Bombyx mori: one gene and its partners. The protein of the gene in region 1 binds, or shares a complex with, the protein of each later gene. Links are inferred from orthologs where the notes say so. Each region holds a gene or a part of one and is shown on either strand. Other genes may lie near its edges.

What was found.
Region 2: chromatin assembly factor 1 p55 subunit (region 1) and uncharacterized protein LOC101741235 share a complex: the UniProt entries of both Drosophila melanogaster proteins name them as parts of the NURF complex. The link is inferred for Bombyx mori from reciprocal best matches to the Drosophila melanogaster genes Caf1-55 and Nurf-38.
Region 3: chromatin assembly factor 1 p55 subunit (region 1) and histone deacetylase HDAC1 share a complex: the UniProt entries of both Drosophila melanogaster proteins name them as parts of the DREAM complex. The link is inferred for Bombyx mori from reciprocal best matches to the Drosophila melanogaster genes Caf1-55 and HDAC1.
Region 4: chromatin assembly factor 1 p55 subunit (region 1) and protein lin-54 homolog share a complex: the UniProt entries of both Drosophila melanogaster proteins name them as parts of the DREAM complex. The link is inferred for Bombyx mori from reciprocal best matches to the Drosophila melanogaster genes Caf1-55 and mip120.

What each region holds. Positions count from the first base shown.
Region 1 is NC_085109.1:4,082,580-4,086,372, forward strand, and holds part of chromatin assembly factor 1 p55 subunit, read left to right. Parts: coding exon 1-158; intron 159-672; coding exon 673-790; intron 791-1,053; coding exon 1,054-1,184; intron 1,185-1,518; coding exon 1,519-1,696; intron 1,697-2,297; coding exon 2,298-2,390; 3' UTR 2,391-3,793. UniProt on the Drosophila melanogaster protein: Core histone-binding subunit that may target chromatin assembly factors, chromatin remodeling factors and histone deacetylases to their histone substrates in a manner that is regulated by nucleosomal DNA.
Region 2 is NC_085115.1:3,629,879-3,634,866, reverse strand, and holds the start of uncharacterized protein LOC101741235, read left to right. Parts: upstream 1-1,697; 5' UTR 1,698-1,733; intron 1,734-3,097; exon of another isoform or gene 3,098-3,233; 5' UTR 3,234-3,262; coding exon 3,263-3,458; intron 3,459-4,988. UniProt on the Drosophila melanogaster protein: Component of NURF (nucleosome remodeling factor), a complex which catalyzes ATP-dependent nucleosome sliding and facilitates transcription of chromatin.
Region 3 is NC_085117.1:13,607,102-13,611,409, reverse strand, and holds part of histone deacetylase HDAC1, read left to right. Parts: coding exon 1-117; intron 118-486; coding exon 487-663; intron 664-852; coding exon 853-955; intron 956-1,136; coding exon 1,137-1,371; intron 1,372-1,754; coding exon 1,755-1,844; intron 1,845-2,937; coding exon 2,938-3,082; intron 3,083-4,227; coding exon 4,228-4,304; 3' UTR 4,305-4,308. UniProt on the Drosophila melanogaster protein: Catalyzes the deacetylation of lysine residues on the N-terminal part of the core histones (H2A, H2B, H3 and H4).
Region 4 is NC_085109.1:10,695,547-10,699,311, reverse strand, and holds part of protein lin-54 homolog, read left to right. Parts: intron 1-2,242; coding exon 2,243-2,450; intron 2,451-3,113; coding exon 3,114-3,237; intron 3,238-3,765. UniProt on the Drosophila melanogaster protein: Component of the DREAM complex, a multiprotein complex that can both act as a transcription activator or repressor depending on the context. In follicle cells, the complex plays a central role in the site-specific DNA replication at the chorion loci.

The DNA of each region.
Region 1 (3,793 bases):
GACATCAACGCGACGCCAAAGGAGGGGCGGGTCATCGAAGCGAAGTCCGTGTTCACCGGCCACACGGCCGTCGTCGAGGACGTCGCGTGGCACTTGCTACACGAGTCGCTCTTCGGATCCGTGGCTGACGACCAGAAACTGATGATATGGGACACCAGGTAACACCAACAACTAACTTTTTGAGGTTCTTTTTTATTGCCCCTTGTAGGCAGACGAGCATACGGCCCACCTGATGGTGAGTGGTTACTGTCGCTCACGAACGTCGGCAACGCGTGGGGCAGAGCCCAGCCACAGCCTACCATTTGAAAAGTTACAATTGTAAATATAAAACATTATAAATGAGACAAGATCAAGACATACTGATTATGTAATTGTGAATTGTACAATACTTATTAACTAAGAGACCTATTTAAGACAATCATGATAATAAAATCATTAGTTTGAATATGAAAGTGCTTTTCCTATCATGGCATGATAACACAAACAGGAGGTTGTTTTCACATATTTCTGCAGATAACTTGTATTTGGTATTGACCTTCATTACTTGTTAATAATTACCTTTAATTATTTTTTTATGATATAATGACACATTTCGTTTAAGTGTAATAATGAGGTATGCATATATGGTAGTAATAATTAGTAAAATAGAGCACAATTATGTTGTAATTACAGATGTAATAATACATCGAAACCATCTCACACAGTGGACGCACACACCGCTGAAGTTAACTGCCTCAGTTTCAATCCCTATTCAGAGTTCATTCTTGCTACTGGCAGTGCGGATAAAACGGTAATGTTACTAATTTTAATTCAAATATACACATCTAACAAGTCAAAACTTCCATAGCGTTTTGCTTATTATTTAATTGTAATATTTATATATCAATTTTTTGTAATTTAACGAAACTTGTGTTCACAAGCTTTGAATTCAATCAGCTCATGATACACTGAAAAATGAAACTACAGTTTTAATATCATAATAAACTAAATAATAAATAGCCTATCCTTAATAATAGGTTAACTACTATAACTATAAATATAATTTCCGTCTAGGTTGCGCTTTGGGATCTACGCAATTTGAAATTAAAGCTACACTCGTTCGAGTCGCACAAAGACGAAATATTCCAAGTACAATGGTCGCCACACAACGAAACTATTCTCGCGAGCAGTGGTACCGACCGAAGGTAAAATTACAGATAATTGAATTTTCAAACTTTTTGTTACATCTTGTGTACAGACAAGAACTCTCAAAATAATAGTATTAAACGGTAGGTAAAATAAAATCAACACCCATAAAAAAAACAGATATGGAATTGAAGTTGCAAAGTAAATATAAAAGCTCAGACTTCTTGTGGGCTTACAGCCACTTTTTGGGCTGATTTTAAAAATCGTAAACATGTACATCTAATTTTTACGCTTTAAATTTGGGAAAATGCACAATACTCAAGAACTGGGTTTGCTGATTGCTGTACGAGACAATAATTATTATGAAAGTTACTTCATTACTTGTTTTTTTAGACTCCATGTATGGGACTTGTCAAAGATTGGCGAGGAACAGACAGCTGAAGATGCAGAAGATGGACCCCCAGAATTATTGTTCATACATGGAGGACACACCGCTAAGATATCTGACTTCTCATGGAACCCTAATGAACCATGGGTCATCTGTTCCGTCTCTGAGGATAACATTATGCAGGTATGCTAAAATTATAGGTTGAATGTTTTTAGCTTAGATAGGCACCTTTTGGGAGAAAGCTGTCAGAAAACATTAATATTATAGTTGATCTTAATGCATAAAATATAATTGCTTTGCTAAAATATAATTTCTCCCTAGCACATAATTATTTATTGGTGTTAGAACTTCTTGTGAGTACACGTGGGTAGGCACCACCACCCTGCCTATTTCTGCCGTGAAGCAGTAATGCGTTTCGGTTTGAAGGGTGGGACAGCCGTTGTAACTATACTGAGACCTTAGAACTTGTATCTTAAAGTGGGTGACGCATTTACTTTGTAGAGCTCGTCCACATATATATGCCATAAAAAAAAAAAAAAAAACTACAAATCTAGGCTATTTGATAAATATTTCGGCACATCATCTCGGATCCTTCTAACAGTGCTTTTAGGTACCCCAAGCACCGGTCATCGTTCTTGTCGAACCCGTCGCTTGCGACTCACTGAGTTTCTCGCCGGATCTTTTCAGTCGCGGTTCAGACTTGGTGGTAGCTTCTTAGAATAGGTAGAAAAAAAATATATATTTGGTATTTGTTGTACATTGATTCGGTGCGGTATCTGTACAGGTGTGGCAGATGGCTGAGAACATCTACAACGACGAGGAGCCGGAGACGCCGGCGTCGGAGTTAGAGTCGGCCGTCAACGTCAACCACGGCTAGTCGTCCTGTCTGTACGACTCATGTGCTCTGTGGAGAGTGTGAAATAACAACATTGTTTAACATTCACTTTTTAATCGTTAATCTGTGAGATAACTCTGCTACAACCGAACAATAATGGGGTACAAGTTTTCGGAACTGTTCTTAGTTCTATAGAATTTTTATCATGTAAACGTTATACAAAACACTAAAATCTTGTTGGAAAAAATGACATTTATTAAAATGCTTTGTAAATATCATTATGAAATTTAACTAACTAATGATCTGCTATTCTAGCTAATTATCTGAGTTTTTTCGAAATATTACAAACAGCATTTTTTACTTCTAATTGAAATTACCACAAAATTTTATATTTTCAATATTTAAATGCAAAAAGTTGTCCCGTTTTTCATACTTTTCAAACTATTTGACAGTAAACAGTATATTAAACATACAAGTATAGATGTAGTGAGAAACTATTTTCCTTCGGGAAAACTCTTGATCTTTATCGGAATACGATGACACCCGAACTGTCAATGAATGATCGTATTAAATGAGTGACATTTTCATATCCATTAATAAGGAACTTTATTGTTTAGTCTCAAATGTCAAAATGACATTGTATAATATAGAGATGCTGCAACCATAACAATTATTACTTAAAACAGGATATTTACTAGGGTATTATACGAAATGAATTCCCGATATTTTTAAGTAATAATTGTTATGTTCGGGATGTGTGGACATAAGTTTCGTCAGTATTATACACAATATCTGCCTTCAGATCTATACTTCCTTATTAAGTCTACGTACTTTACTCTTTTAAGTCTAACGTCATCTTTTCCATCAGCATTTTCCTATTATTAGCAATTTTCTTCAATAAAAAACCCAGTAGTGTAAAATCACATTCTTTGAAATTCATCGTTTCTATTTATTTGGGCTTTAGTGCTTTTATTGTAGGGACTTGTTTATAAATGAGATGAAAGCTATAAACCATTCGTCGTATCACTGCATAATCAAAATCATCAAGATCTAGATAGATTTTCATGCATGGTCTACCCATCTTAATTTTGTTTGTGTTGGTATTTTTATTATTTCTGTATTCTTCCTCCTGGTTCAAAATATTCTTATTGTTGGTCTAGTTGCGTTTGAAATTCGCTGTTGAACTTTGTCAAAATACTCTTGAGTTGTTGCTGTTTTTGAATTTGCTATTTTCCGATATGAAGTACAGGTAAAACTTAAATAAAACTTTTCCGAAAAATTACGAAGTAAAATCTTTTCTCATTATATCTATAAAGTGAATCGTTACATAGCATACAAATAGGTACATAGGCTAAATATAACTTTAACATTAGCAATTGTTCTAATATTTTGGGCAATTGGTGTCTGCGCGTGACAGTCCTAAGTCAATCTATTTCATCAACATA
Region 2 (4,988 bases), on another chromosome or scaffold:
TAGTGACATTGGAATCAAATACACTGACCACTAATGAAACGTTAACCATGATCATTAATTAAAGTAATTTTTTCTCGTTTCAGAGAAGCTGCCGACCCAGCAGGCACTGCAGGCGGTCCAAGACTTTTTAGCCTGTGGAGTTGAAAATAACTTATTGACTGAAGACTACCACGTCGTTGGTCACCAGCAGTTGATAAACACGCTAAGTCCTGGAGCTGTACTGCAATCAGAAATCGAAAGTTGGCCCCATTGGCTTGATAATGCTCGAAAAGTACTGGGTTAATATTTTATTTACACAACGAATAGATCGAGTATTACTATAATCGGACTTTATATTACAATGAATAAAATTAATTGAGTAAATATTCTGTTTCGTTATTTAGTTATGAATCTGAAATGTTTGAATACATGAATTTCAAAAGCCGTATAGAGACTTGGCTTGGCTTTGCCGCTGGTGTAGATAATACACATAAATTAGAGATAAGAAACTCAGCATTCAACAAAAATGTTTACAGGCGTCGGCCACTAGATGGCTTCGCTTCGATTAGTTTCTAGTATATTTCCTTTTCTCAAGCATTCAACAAAAATGTTTACGGGCGTCGGCCACTGGATGACTTCGCTTCGATTAGTTTCTAGTATATTTTATTTCTAATGAAGGATTTTGTAAATTTTCAGAAACCACAATTTGATAAAATTTAATCAATTTGTCTATAACAAATAATGATGTATTAACTTTTTATTTTCTGTGTTTAGTCACACAATAATTAAATGCCTTAACTTTAACAATATACATATAAGCTTAGGGGCATCTGCTACAAGATGTCGCTAGTTTCCATACAAAAAATATTTGTCTTAAAGTATCACAATTTCGGGGCCCTGGCCGCTGGCATTGTTGACGTTGACGAGCGACGATAACCACTTATCCTCAGTTGAGCCGTATACTCGTCTGCCTAGAAGGGCAATATTATAAAACTCAAGATACTATTAGTTATATCTGTGTGAAACGTAGAAGTTAAGAAATATTTTTTAAAGAATTATAGACCGTAACACAATAATCGTAACGAATATCATCGTGTCGTCCGTGACTACTAAAACAGTAAAGTAGGTATTCGAACCGACGAAACAAATAAAATGAAAATACTATGTAAAAACGAGATTTGAAGACAAAATAAGTTTTATTTTAAAATAACGCCATCTAGTGTTTCAATATTAAATTAGGACCAAGTGTTGGGGTCGAGTTCATAACGTTGCATTTAAAACGAACACCAAGACACATTTTATTACCACCAAGACAAATTATTATAAAGAACAGTCTATAATAGGTAATTGGAGCCAGCTATCATTTTTTAACAAATTTATTTACTTTATCGCAATTGAATTTCGATAAAAATTCAAACTACGACCTTACGTTTCATGGTACATAATAATATTATTATGATGCGTGGGCACCAAGAATTATGCTTTAATACTTATCTTTATTTAGTTGAGTAGGTCCTGTAGTTTATTGTAAAAATGAACTGAGTTCTGTATAATTTATATAGATGGCGCTAACCTAAGTTAGGTAACTCATACTTGAGCAACCATGAAAATTTGATATTCCCTATTCTTTTGCTACAGCTGTGAAAATGAAACCAGTGGTAATTTTCTCTGGATTTAGTAAACTATGTTTAGTATCTACTAAATGTTGTATATGAAAGTGAAACACGTTTGAAGACTAGGCAAAAACGCGAGAGGTTATGTTTTTGTGAAAGTTCGTTAATTAGTATACATATTTAGTTTTGTTTCGTTTCGTTAGCTTAGTATTTCTTCTGATTTAAATTTGTTATAATGATGTCTTCATAACCGCTTTAACATCTGTGAAAATGTAGAGGCAGGAAAACAAAGAAAAACTTTGGACAACTTTTCGTTTTCCTACAAAAGTATTTGATAGAATTTACAGAATATTAACTTAAATTCCCACCATATTATTGAAACAATATTTAATTTCATTCCATTATCAATTTTACATTAATTAATAATTAACAATCATTTAATTCAAGTTTGTTACATTTTTCATTATTAGACATGACTTTGACTATTAAAAACATTGGGCACATTTATAAAAATTGGGCAGTATACTGTAATACCTTCGCCTTTCTCGTTTTGGAATCGTTGACATTTTTCTTTGGATTGACGTTTTAACATGTGTTGCTATGAAAAAAGTATTATTCAAATTTCTTTTAATTACGATCCTATGCTTTACACATGTCACCGTGTTTGCTTAAAGTTTGTTTATAACAGAAATTGTGTGGAAAGTAAGAAGCGTCTATAATTGAAGCAATAATGCTTTTCGGTTTGAAGGGCGAGGTAGCCTTTGTAACTGTAGTGAGACCTTAGAACTTATATCTCAAAGTGGGTGGCGCATTTATGTTGTAGATATCTATGGACTCCAGTAACCACTTAACACCAGGTGGGCTATGAGTTGATCCACCCATCTAAGCTATAAAAAAATAAACTAAAGAAATGTTTAAAAACATTCACTATCATATCATTCGTTTATGGCGTTAGCTAGTAATTTTTATCCTATATTTCTATGGATTATTAAAGAATGCCTATAAGGACACGGTCCATTGCATTTAAAGGGAGGGAGGGACCGTTATTCAAGGATCCACAGTCCAGAAAATTGTCGAATAGTTAAGGACTTATATTTGTTGCTTGTTCTATAAGTTTTGTTTCTATAAATGTCTGATCCTAGTATTTGTGACAAAAATGGCGCGGGCAAGTTAAAATTGAAAATATCAATTGTACCAGATTTATATGAGGGATAATTTTCATTTACATTCATTTGATGCACTAATAGAAAAGGGAAGAAAGAATTATCAAACTCTTTAACAGAACCCTTCACAAAATTTGCAATATAAATTACAAAGAAAATTAAAATCTCGCAATACTGCCACGAACATATAAAGCACAAGTTTGGTGTTTTGAATAAAAATAATGAACTTCAAAAAGTTTAAGTAAAAACTAAATTTAACATTAGGATATTTGGTTGAAACTTCTCTCGTCTTCAATTTCATTAGTTTTAAAATATTAAATTTCACATCTAGCTTATAGTTTTTTTAAGATTACGTTTATCTGAATCATACGTGTGTCCACACAAAGATACTTTTAACAACTTTGACAGTCCTGTAAACTACTAAAATGAATTTAACACTGCCGAAAATTACGTAACAAATTTCGTATTCTTTTTACAGCTTACCTTGGTAACCCGTAGTGGACTAAAATGTCACTTTCACGTTGCGTTTGTGCCGCAGCTGTTCCGGTTTGCCGGTCGATAGCAAGACGATTGTGCGCTGTTAAAGAACCGACACGTGTAACTTGTTCAATTAATTCGACTGCCACACTAAAAACTCAAGTAAGGATGTACATCGTAGAAGAAAGAGGATCACCTTACACTCCTGACTATCGTGTATTCTTCAGTAAGTCTGATAGTGAGAATAATAGATAAAGATAAAATAGTACTCGAGTCGAGTGTGTCGCGTGTCTGAACATAAACTCTCTTAATCATAGTCATATTATAGTTTTAAGTGTTTGAACTTTGAAGTTCGAGGTAATTGTTTTTAAATCAAGTTCAACCAGAGTTTGTTGAAATTGGTTCTTAGTAATGAACTCCGTTTAGAATTCACACAATGTTTATTAGGAGATTTAATATCTATTTCGTTGTTTTAAATTTTTACAGCAATTATCACAATAAGACCTTTAGACTTTAGAAAACTCTCAAGCAATATTTGTTGTTACACAAGTCACCATAATAAAACCCAACAGTAAAATTTTATATTGCTAACATGATAGTGCTACATGAAATTCGGGTTTTTGATTTTAGACTTTTCATTTATTTATAGTTTGTAAATAATATTGATTTATTTTTCTAAACTTAAACTATAATTTGTACAAAAGTAAGGTAAAAAAGAAGAACCGTCAGAAACTACTAAAACTTATATTTTCACTGTACGGTAATAATAAATTTTGTTTATTTATAATAATTGAATAAAAAAATAAAGATGAATACAGTTTAAAACAATGTTTTATAGGCAAACTGAATTCAATTCAATTCATTCATTGAAACAAAAGTCAACTTAACCAGCTGAACTGACTTAGCATATTAATCTCATTTCATAACTGCTAGTATGTAATTCAACAAAAAACAAATTACTTTTATTATGACAACAATTTTATATATTAAATAATTATTTTTTTATATTTCATGTGTAGAATATTTTCCATATTTTTTACCAAAGCACAGGATAGAAATTTAAAACAATAGTAAAATTTGTTTTAATAATAAAATTGATAGTGTAGTTGATAAACCTCGGGTGGTAGCTTTCACCTCAAAATAAACGCAATGTGAAAGCTGCTACTTTATTCCTGATGTTGAATTATATTAAAATAATCTCTTTCTTGCTCTTCAAAACGATTGCAGAAAAAGGATAGGCTACTATAGGATATTACTACTAATACAAGTAAATGCCTACCACAAAGAAATTGGATTCATAACTTGTTTATTCCAAAACAAAGTCCAAAGTAACGGTTATTATTGATAATTAGCTGATGTTATCATACTGTATGAATATGTAAATTATGAAGTGGTTATTTACATAAAAAATCTTAAGATCTTGCTGATAAGCGGTAAGCATAAAATTGAATTAAAATTGAAAATATTTTTTTTACTTAAATAGGCCTTCACAGGTGTTTAAAAATTATAAATATATTCATATTATATTAATACTGATTCATTTATTATGCCTTCCTAAGTATATTTGTTATCTTTCATGGTCCTGTTTGGCTCATTCCCTAAATTCTACTTTATGAAGTTATATTCAGTGTTCATTCGGAAGTCTGAACTAGTCTGAAGTCATGTCCACCACTGGATTTTTATTTATCTGTAAGATTTTCACAATACCTGTGAGAGAGTAGAGCCTCAGTTATGGTCAAAAGTTTCACCACTAAGG
Region 3 (4,308 bases), on another chromosome or scaffold:
TACTATATATTGACATAGATGTGCATCATGGTGATGGTGTTGAAGAAGCTTTCTACACCACGGACAGAGTAATGACCGTTTCCTTTCATAAATATGGAGAATATTTTCCTGGAACAGGTGATTACATTACTTATTTCTATTTAAACTTGTTCAAAACATTAAAGTTTATTTGAGTAATATTGAATGATTAGCACAAAGATATTTGTACCTTTTTATCACATGAAACTGAGAAAGATAAGTAATTGCAGCACTGCATTTGTTACCTTGTACATACAGCGCTGACTGTACACTCTACATCTAAAAGGTGTGTACACAATTTTACAATGATTGTACATTTTTCTGATCTAACAAAAGAGTAATATGACTCATTTAAAAACTGCTACTGGGAGAAAAAAATTAAATTATCTCGAAGATATCTCATCTCATCTTGGGGTTTTCCTATAAAGATTTTATATATGGCAATAATTGATTATCATAATATTACAGGTGATTTGCGGGACATTGGTGCTGGTAAAGGCAAATACTATGCTGTAAATATACCCCTTCGTGATGGAATGGATGATGAGTCATATGAGTCTATCTTTGTTCCCATTATATCTAAAGTTATGGAGACATTCCAACCAAGTGCTGTAGTACTACAGTGTGGTGCTGATTCTCTGACAGGTAACTATAATAACTCTAACTTTATAACTCTTGTGTCACTTTTTATTTGTCCAAGCTATTTGCTTAATCTAATTTTTTATGAAATTGAATTGATTCTGAATGTCGTAAAATCACTCATACCAATTAATAACTAAATAATAAAAATTTAGTTAATTACTGTAACTAAAATACCTATTTTTATTATACAAGGTGACAGATTGGGTTGTTTCAACTTGACTGTTCGAGGTCATGGACGCTGTGTAGAACTTGTCAAGAGGTTTGGACTTCCATTCTTACTAGTCGGCGGAGGCGGGTAAGTTGTTTTAAATATAAGACTATGTTTCACTTTTAGATAGAAACTGAATCATTATCTTTACTACTTAAGATATTTAAATTACTAGGTCAAAATAATGTAATCTCTTAATTTTTTCACAACAACTAGACTATTTTCTTTAACCATCTTTTCATTGCTTCATGTGTAATAAATTTCACAGATATACCATACGTAATGTATCTCGCTGTTGGACTTACGAGACATCTGTTGCACTTGGTGTGGAAATAGCCAATGAACTACCATATAATGACTACTTTGAGTACTTTGGGCCCGATTTCAAACTACACATATCACCAAGTAACATGTCCAATCAAAACACACCCGAATATCTGGAAAAGATAAAAAATAGACTGTTCGAGAATCTCAGAATGCTCCCACATGCGCCAGGAGTACAAGTAAGTGTTTTCCAAATTACTACATGACTAGATAAAGTTCTGATTACGATTGTTAGTTTTAACGTGTTTCCGATATTTCGCCGCTGCTGCAAACGCCATGTGGTAGGATGTTCGGAATAGATACATCTATCTCTCTAGTACTTTTTCAGTTGTTACCTAAGTTTTTCTTGTCCAATAATAATAATCAATCAAATAATAAGCAAGATTCGTAAGCGGGGTCTCTTAGTACAGGCTTGCACGCTTAAAAGGAGACCCCAATCATTGTATTATTTTAACTCGCTTTTGAAAATAAAGTAGTTTTGTATTTTGTAATTTTTTTTGTAGGCATATTTTTTTACGTTGTTTACTTTTTAAAACATCACTAAAATTCTTTATTCCTCTAGGTGCAAGCCATACCTGAAGATGCTGTCAATGATGAGTCAGATGATGAAGATAAAATAGACAAAGATGAGAGATTACCACAGAGTGATAAGGTATGATTTAAAAGTGGATTTAATCACACAGTGTTTTCCAGTAAGCCCAATTTTAAATATGCGTTTAAATATTTAGTAAAAATATTAATTATTTATTTGGGTGAACTAATTAGTTTTGTTATACATGGCTTTGAGGATAAAATATTGAACAAGAATAAACCCATAACACATTTATTCAGTTAAATATCAAAATTACAGATAGTTAAAATCTCAAAAAAATTTGCAGAATGTTATTCCAAACTCACTAGTATCTAATATGCACAAGTATTCACTCTTTTTCATTAATATTATTTTGCAAAATTCCCTTTGAATCCCTTGTAACTTTTTACTGTATTTATTTTCGTTGGTTTCAATTCGGTTCTTAAATCCAATATCAGTATCGAGTTCGAATGAGCTTTACAATTCACTAAACGTTCCTCGCACGATACAATATGTTTTCGTTATTTTTGTTTCCACTATTTGTGAGTGCTTTTCGTGGTTAAGAGATAGATCTCGTTGCCGCGTGCTGCATTTGTAACAGTACCGTAGATTGGGGGAATCGGGACCCTTTCCAAATCCAGCACAAGTTTTCAATGGTTTTTCTTAGGGTTAATACCAATAAAATTGAGATTAAAATGGTTCCGGAGGCTTAAATTTGTGATGAGTTATTATACATAGTTCATAACAAAATATACACAAAATCTGAAAAAACTAGCTTGACCCCATTCACCTTGGCTTTGGGGTGAATCATATTACGTATGGGGACAATACAGTTTTTCGATAGGGCTGGCACTATTAAGCTGTTAGGTAGGTACCTAACTTTAGGTAATTAATTTTTAATATCTTTAATGAGTTAAAAAACTATGATGACTAAATTAAACTATTTAATATTCTAAAAAAACTAAATAAAAGTAATTTTCAGTTCAACAAAGTTAAATCTAACTCAACTCAACAAAAGTATTGTGACATCCCAGATTTGTCCCTATTCGAACTTTAGTCTCTATTCCCCCCAATTTACTGTAAGATATTTCTACAGTCTGCTCTAAGTGGTGTGCGACATTGCGACCAAGCAAGATTTTGTAGTAACAAGATTTGAATGTGATACGCAAAACAGGACAAGCGCATCGCTAACGACGGCGAGCTGTCGGACTCCGAGGACGAGGGCGACGGGCGACGCGACAACCGAGCCTACCGCGCGCCGCAGCGCAAGCGTCCGCGACTCGACAAGGAACCCTTGCAGATCAAGGACGATCTTAAACGTACGTACACACATCACGTAAAACAGCGATCGGGGAAACTTTTTTATTATTACCCCAAAATATTTTTGTGTAAGTTAATATTACCCCATGGCGAAGAACAAAAAGAAAGTAATCGCTTCTTTTTAGTATCTTTCATATTATAGCCCCCATGATAATTTTAAAAAGAAAACAATAACTAAAAATTTAACGTTTCTAAAGAAGATTCACTTCAATATATACTTTTTACTCACAAAAGTTTCATTTTTACCCTCCAAAATTTAATTTTACCCTATTTGGGGTAATTTGCCCCGGTTCCCCGACCGCTGACTTAAAACATCATCGTACACACATCAAATCGAATAAGATAGCCGTTATTTTCAATGCTCTCGTGAAATAAGAAATATTGCTCGCATTGTGATCGTCGTAACAGAAAGTTTATTAATAGTTGAACACCAGGTGGTTCCCGAGATCGTATAGCGGCTACGCCATTGAAATAAACAAATGATTTATAATGCTTTAAAGATATATTTTAAGTCTTCGTGACCTAAAGGACAAGAAGTACTGGTATCGAGCGATGAGTCTGTGCTGGTGTTCAAACTGCCCTAACATGTACCAATTAATTTGTCTAATGAGATATGTACTTAACATTACTGGTGGTAGGGACCTCTTGTGAGTCCTAATGGGTAGGTTCCACTCCGCCTATTTCTACCGTGAAGCAGCAATGCGTTTCGGTTTGAAGGGTGGGGTAGTCGTTATAACTATACTGAGATTTTAGAACTTATATCTCAAGGTGGGTGGCGCATTTACGTTGTAGATGTTTATGGGCTCCGGTAACCACTTAACACCAGGTTGGCTGTGAACATCGGTAATGGCAATTACTACCACTGCTAAAGACGTGAAACCATTCATTTGAGTATGTAATATAGCTGGATTCGAATAAATGGAAATAAATTCTGCACTATGCATTAATGTTTCTCAGAACATTGTGCTGCAAGAAAATGGTTTTGATTAATTTCTCATTTATAAAGTAAAATATTACCAAACAGAACTGACGCATCCTTAATAGATCTATACAGACTAATTGGTTCATACCAGGACAAAGTCTGAGTAAGAGAGCAAACTATTTTTTCAAAAATATTGATCGCATTACTTATTGCCATTTACAGCTGATGACATGAAGGATGACGTTAAAAACGTTAGCAACGCGGAAGAATCAAAGAAGGACATGCCACCGAATCCCTGATGAG
Region 4 (3,765 bases), about 6.6 Mb from region 1:
ATTTACTGTGTATTAGTTCTTTATTACTGAAGTCACAATTGGTAACAACATCTACAGTAGTGATCCAAAAGTGGTGACCCCGACGTGATTTATATGAAACGAAAATTGTGATTAATAATGACGACACCAGGAGTTCCGGCAACTCAACTAGCATTGTCGCAGACTTCAGCGGACATTATGGCGATCTCGCTATCGACACGTATACCAGAATTTTGGACAGAGCAACCAAGAGCATGGTACATTAGGATCGAGTCTATACTCGCCCCACAGAAACTTGGGGATGAAGTTAAATTCGACATTGTCGTATCGAAACTACCAAAAGAAGTCATTATTCAACTAACAGATTTTCTAGCTAAGCCACCGGACACAGGAAAATTTCTGGCGCTAAAAACGAAATTATTATCAACATTTGAGGAGTCCAAAAGTCGACAAATTGAAAGACTCATAGGAGAGATGGAACTAGGAGATCAAAAACCTTCTCAGCTATTGCGCCGCATGAGAGAGTTAGCCAGAGATAAAGTACCGGACGACACCCTGCGAGTGTTATGGCAAGGTCACTTACCTACAACATTGAGGGCAATCCTTACAGTCACTGAAACAAAAGATTTAGACAACCTCGCCATGATTGCGGATAATGTTGCGGAGGCCACGCGAGTTAACCACATCTCTGAGGTCGTTAATCAACAAACCTCGAATATGGAACGACCATCAACAAGCGACACGTCTTTAATTTTAGCGGAAATAGCAAAATTAAGCGTCAGAATGACTAACATGGAGCAGTCACGATCCAGACAAAACTACTTTGATCGTAACCGTGATAGAAGTGGCTCACGATCTTCATCGAGACGCCGTACCCCACAGAACCCCAACTGGTTATGTTACTACCATTACAAGTTCCGTCAGAATGCTCAGAAATGCGTCCAACCATGTGCATGGAAACCAAGTTCGGAAAACTAGGCGTGGTACGGTCGCGGGCGGAAGCTAGTACCATTTTAGGATGCCGCCGTTTGTGTGTGATGGACTACAATAGTGGACTAAATTTTTTGGTGGACACAGGTGCTAATATTTCAGTTTTACCGGTGCCTAAAATAAGTAAATTTATCAAAAATCCTAACTATAAGTTATATGCAGCCAATGGAACTGAAATTGCAACATTTGGTGAAAAAACGTTAGTGCTAGATTTGAAGCTACGTCGCGCTTTCCGATGGAACTTCGTGCTTGCAGATGTTAAACAGGCTATATTAGGGGCGGACTTTTTAACTTCTAACAATCTTTTGGTTGATATGGGTGAACGTAAGCTTATCGATAAGGTAACAGATCTGAATTTATTAGCTTGTATTGTTGTTAGCAATCAACCTTCATTGCATACTGTTGATGTGAGTCATCCATATCGTGATTTGTTAGCGCTGTACCCCGACATTACGAAACCAGCGTCATTTAAGGAAGTAAGTTCTCATAACGTTTTGCATTATATTGAAACTACTGGTCCACCGGTGCATGCTCGTGCTCGACCACTGGCACCTGAGAGATATAAAATAATTAAGGAGGAATTTCGGATCATGCAGGAATTGGGTATTTGTCGGCCTTCTAAAAGTGCTTGGGCTAGCCCGTTACATATTGTCCCCAAGAAAAATGGAGACTTAAGACCATGTGGTGATTATCGTCAACTGAACGCTATTACAAAACCTGACAGATACCCTATTCCTCGACTGCATGATTTTACTTATATTTTGGCTGATAAAAAGATATTTTCAAAATTAGATATCAATAGAGCATTTCATTGTATTGATGTTGCTCCTGAAGATATTGAAAAGACTGCCATAATAACGCCTTTCGGTCTTTTTGAATTTCCTAAAATGACATTTGGTTTGCGGAATGCGCCACAAACATTCCAACGCTTTATGAATAACACTGTCCTACAAGTATCCAGTAGTGATCCAAAAGTAGACAGACTTATCAGATCCTACTTTCTAAGTACAAAACAATGACAATTTAGCTTAAATTAAAGGAAGTAATCTAACAATAAAATAGAACGGAGCGCCACGAACCTTTTCGAACATTTATAGGCAGCGGCAATCTACCCGCAAATAAAAATATCCAAAAAAGTTCATCAAAAACATCCAACAATACATATATTAGAGATTGAGCAAACAAAAAATTGCTTAACGACATGTCTGTCTATGTATGCATGCGATCCAGTAACAAATTGGAAAATAATTAATTCTCTTAACGTTCATTGTAGACGTGGGGGCCACGGAACTAGGTCTTCGGCCAAGGAAGGCGTGTAATTGTACAAAGTCTCAGTGCCTCAAGTTGTACTGCGACTGTTTCGCGAACGGGGAGTTTTGCAATCAATGCAACTGCAATAATTGTCATAATAATTTAGAAAATGAAGCGTTAAGGCAGAAAGCCATCAGGGCGTGCTTAGAGAGGAATCCTAATGCGTTTAGGTAAGTTTTTTTTTGTAAATATCATTAATATTTTTTTACCAGCAGTAAAATTTTATTGTTACTAATAATTTAAAGTGTTCTGGTGGTAAGCCGTCTTGTGAGTCCCCACGGGTAGGTACCATCACCTTGCCTATTTCTGCCGTGAAGCAGTAATAAGTTTCGGTTTGAAGGGTGGGGCAGCCGTTGTGCTGCAAAAACGGAGACCTTAGAACTCACGCATTTACGTGCGTATGTCTATGGGCTTCGGTGACCACTTAACGTCAGGTGAGCCGTGAGCTCGTCTATACACATCTATATATATAAAAATAAATTGCTGTTCGTTAGTCTCGCCAAAACTTGAGAACGGTTGACCGATTTGGCTAATTTTGGTCTTGAATGATTTGTGGAAGTCCAGAAAAGGTTTAAAAAAGACTTAAAATAAATATGAAAATGCTCGAAATTAAATAAAAATAACAATTTTGTTTTTCCTTTGATGTCCCCCCATCGGACGGATTCCTTTTGTTTGTTCTAACTTTGTTTTATACAAAAGTATAGGTCTTTTATTTATCGATTGAGGCACTACGAAGTCTGCCGGGTCAGCAAGTCAGCAATAAAAAAAAGTAGTCACCAAAATTGTTACAGCTTAATTTACTGTTTGTTTTTTATTAAATGAAATATTTAAAGCAAGTTTCACAGGCCGAAAATCGGGAAAGCAAAAATCGGCGGGCCGGACATCATAAGGCGGCATAACAAGGGCTGCAACTGTAAACGAAGTGGATGCCTCAAGAATTATTGTGAATGTTACGAGGTAAACTAAAAATTAATTATCAAATTACATAGTAATTAACTCGTTGCAATAATCATTTATATGAATCAGATTTTTTTCAATTATTTTCCTAAAATAAATAAATGTGATAGTAAAATTAAAATGAATGTGAAACTGCGAGTTTAAAAAAGATTAAAAAAAGACAGTGGTATCATAATTTAAACCACTGATTCTGATATGTAGTCAGTCTGTTCATTTAGCGTTTTAAAGTTGGTATACTTCAGTCTTGCTGTGACAACGAGAGGCACTCCTACCGTAAAATTGTTTAATTTAATATAATAATATGTTATTGTTGCATATTATAATGTTGGAGTGATCGTCTGGGTTTCTTATAATAAAGATGCAGATTTTCATGGATAGTTTTTATTTTAACGGAGATACACTTTTTGTGTCAGTACTCATTGACGGCGCTAGAAGAAAAAGGGGCGAGCACACGAATGACGTTGACACATATTAGACGAGTGACAGCTGTCAGTTGGTATTAACATAAAGATGCGTTTAGAAATTATA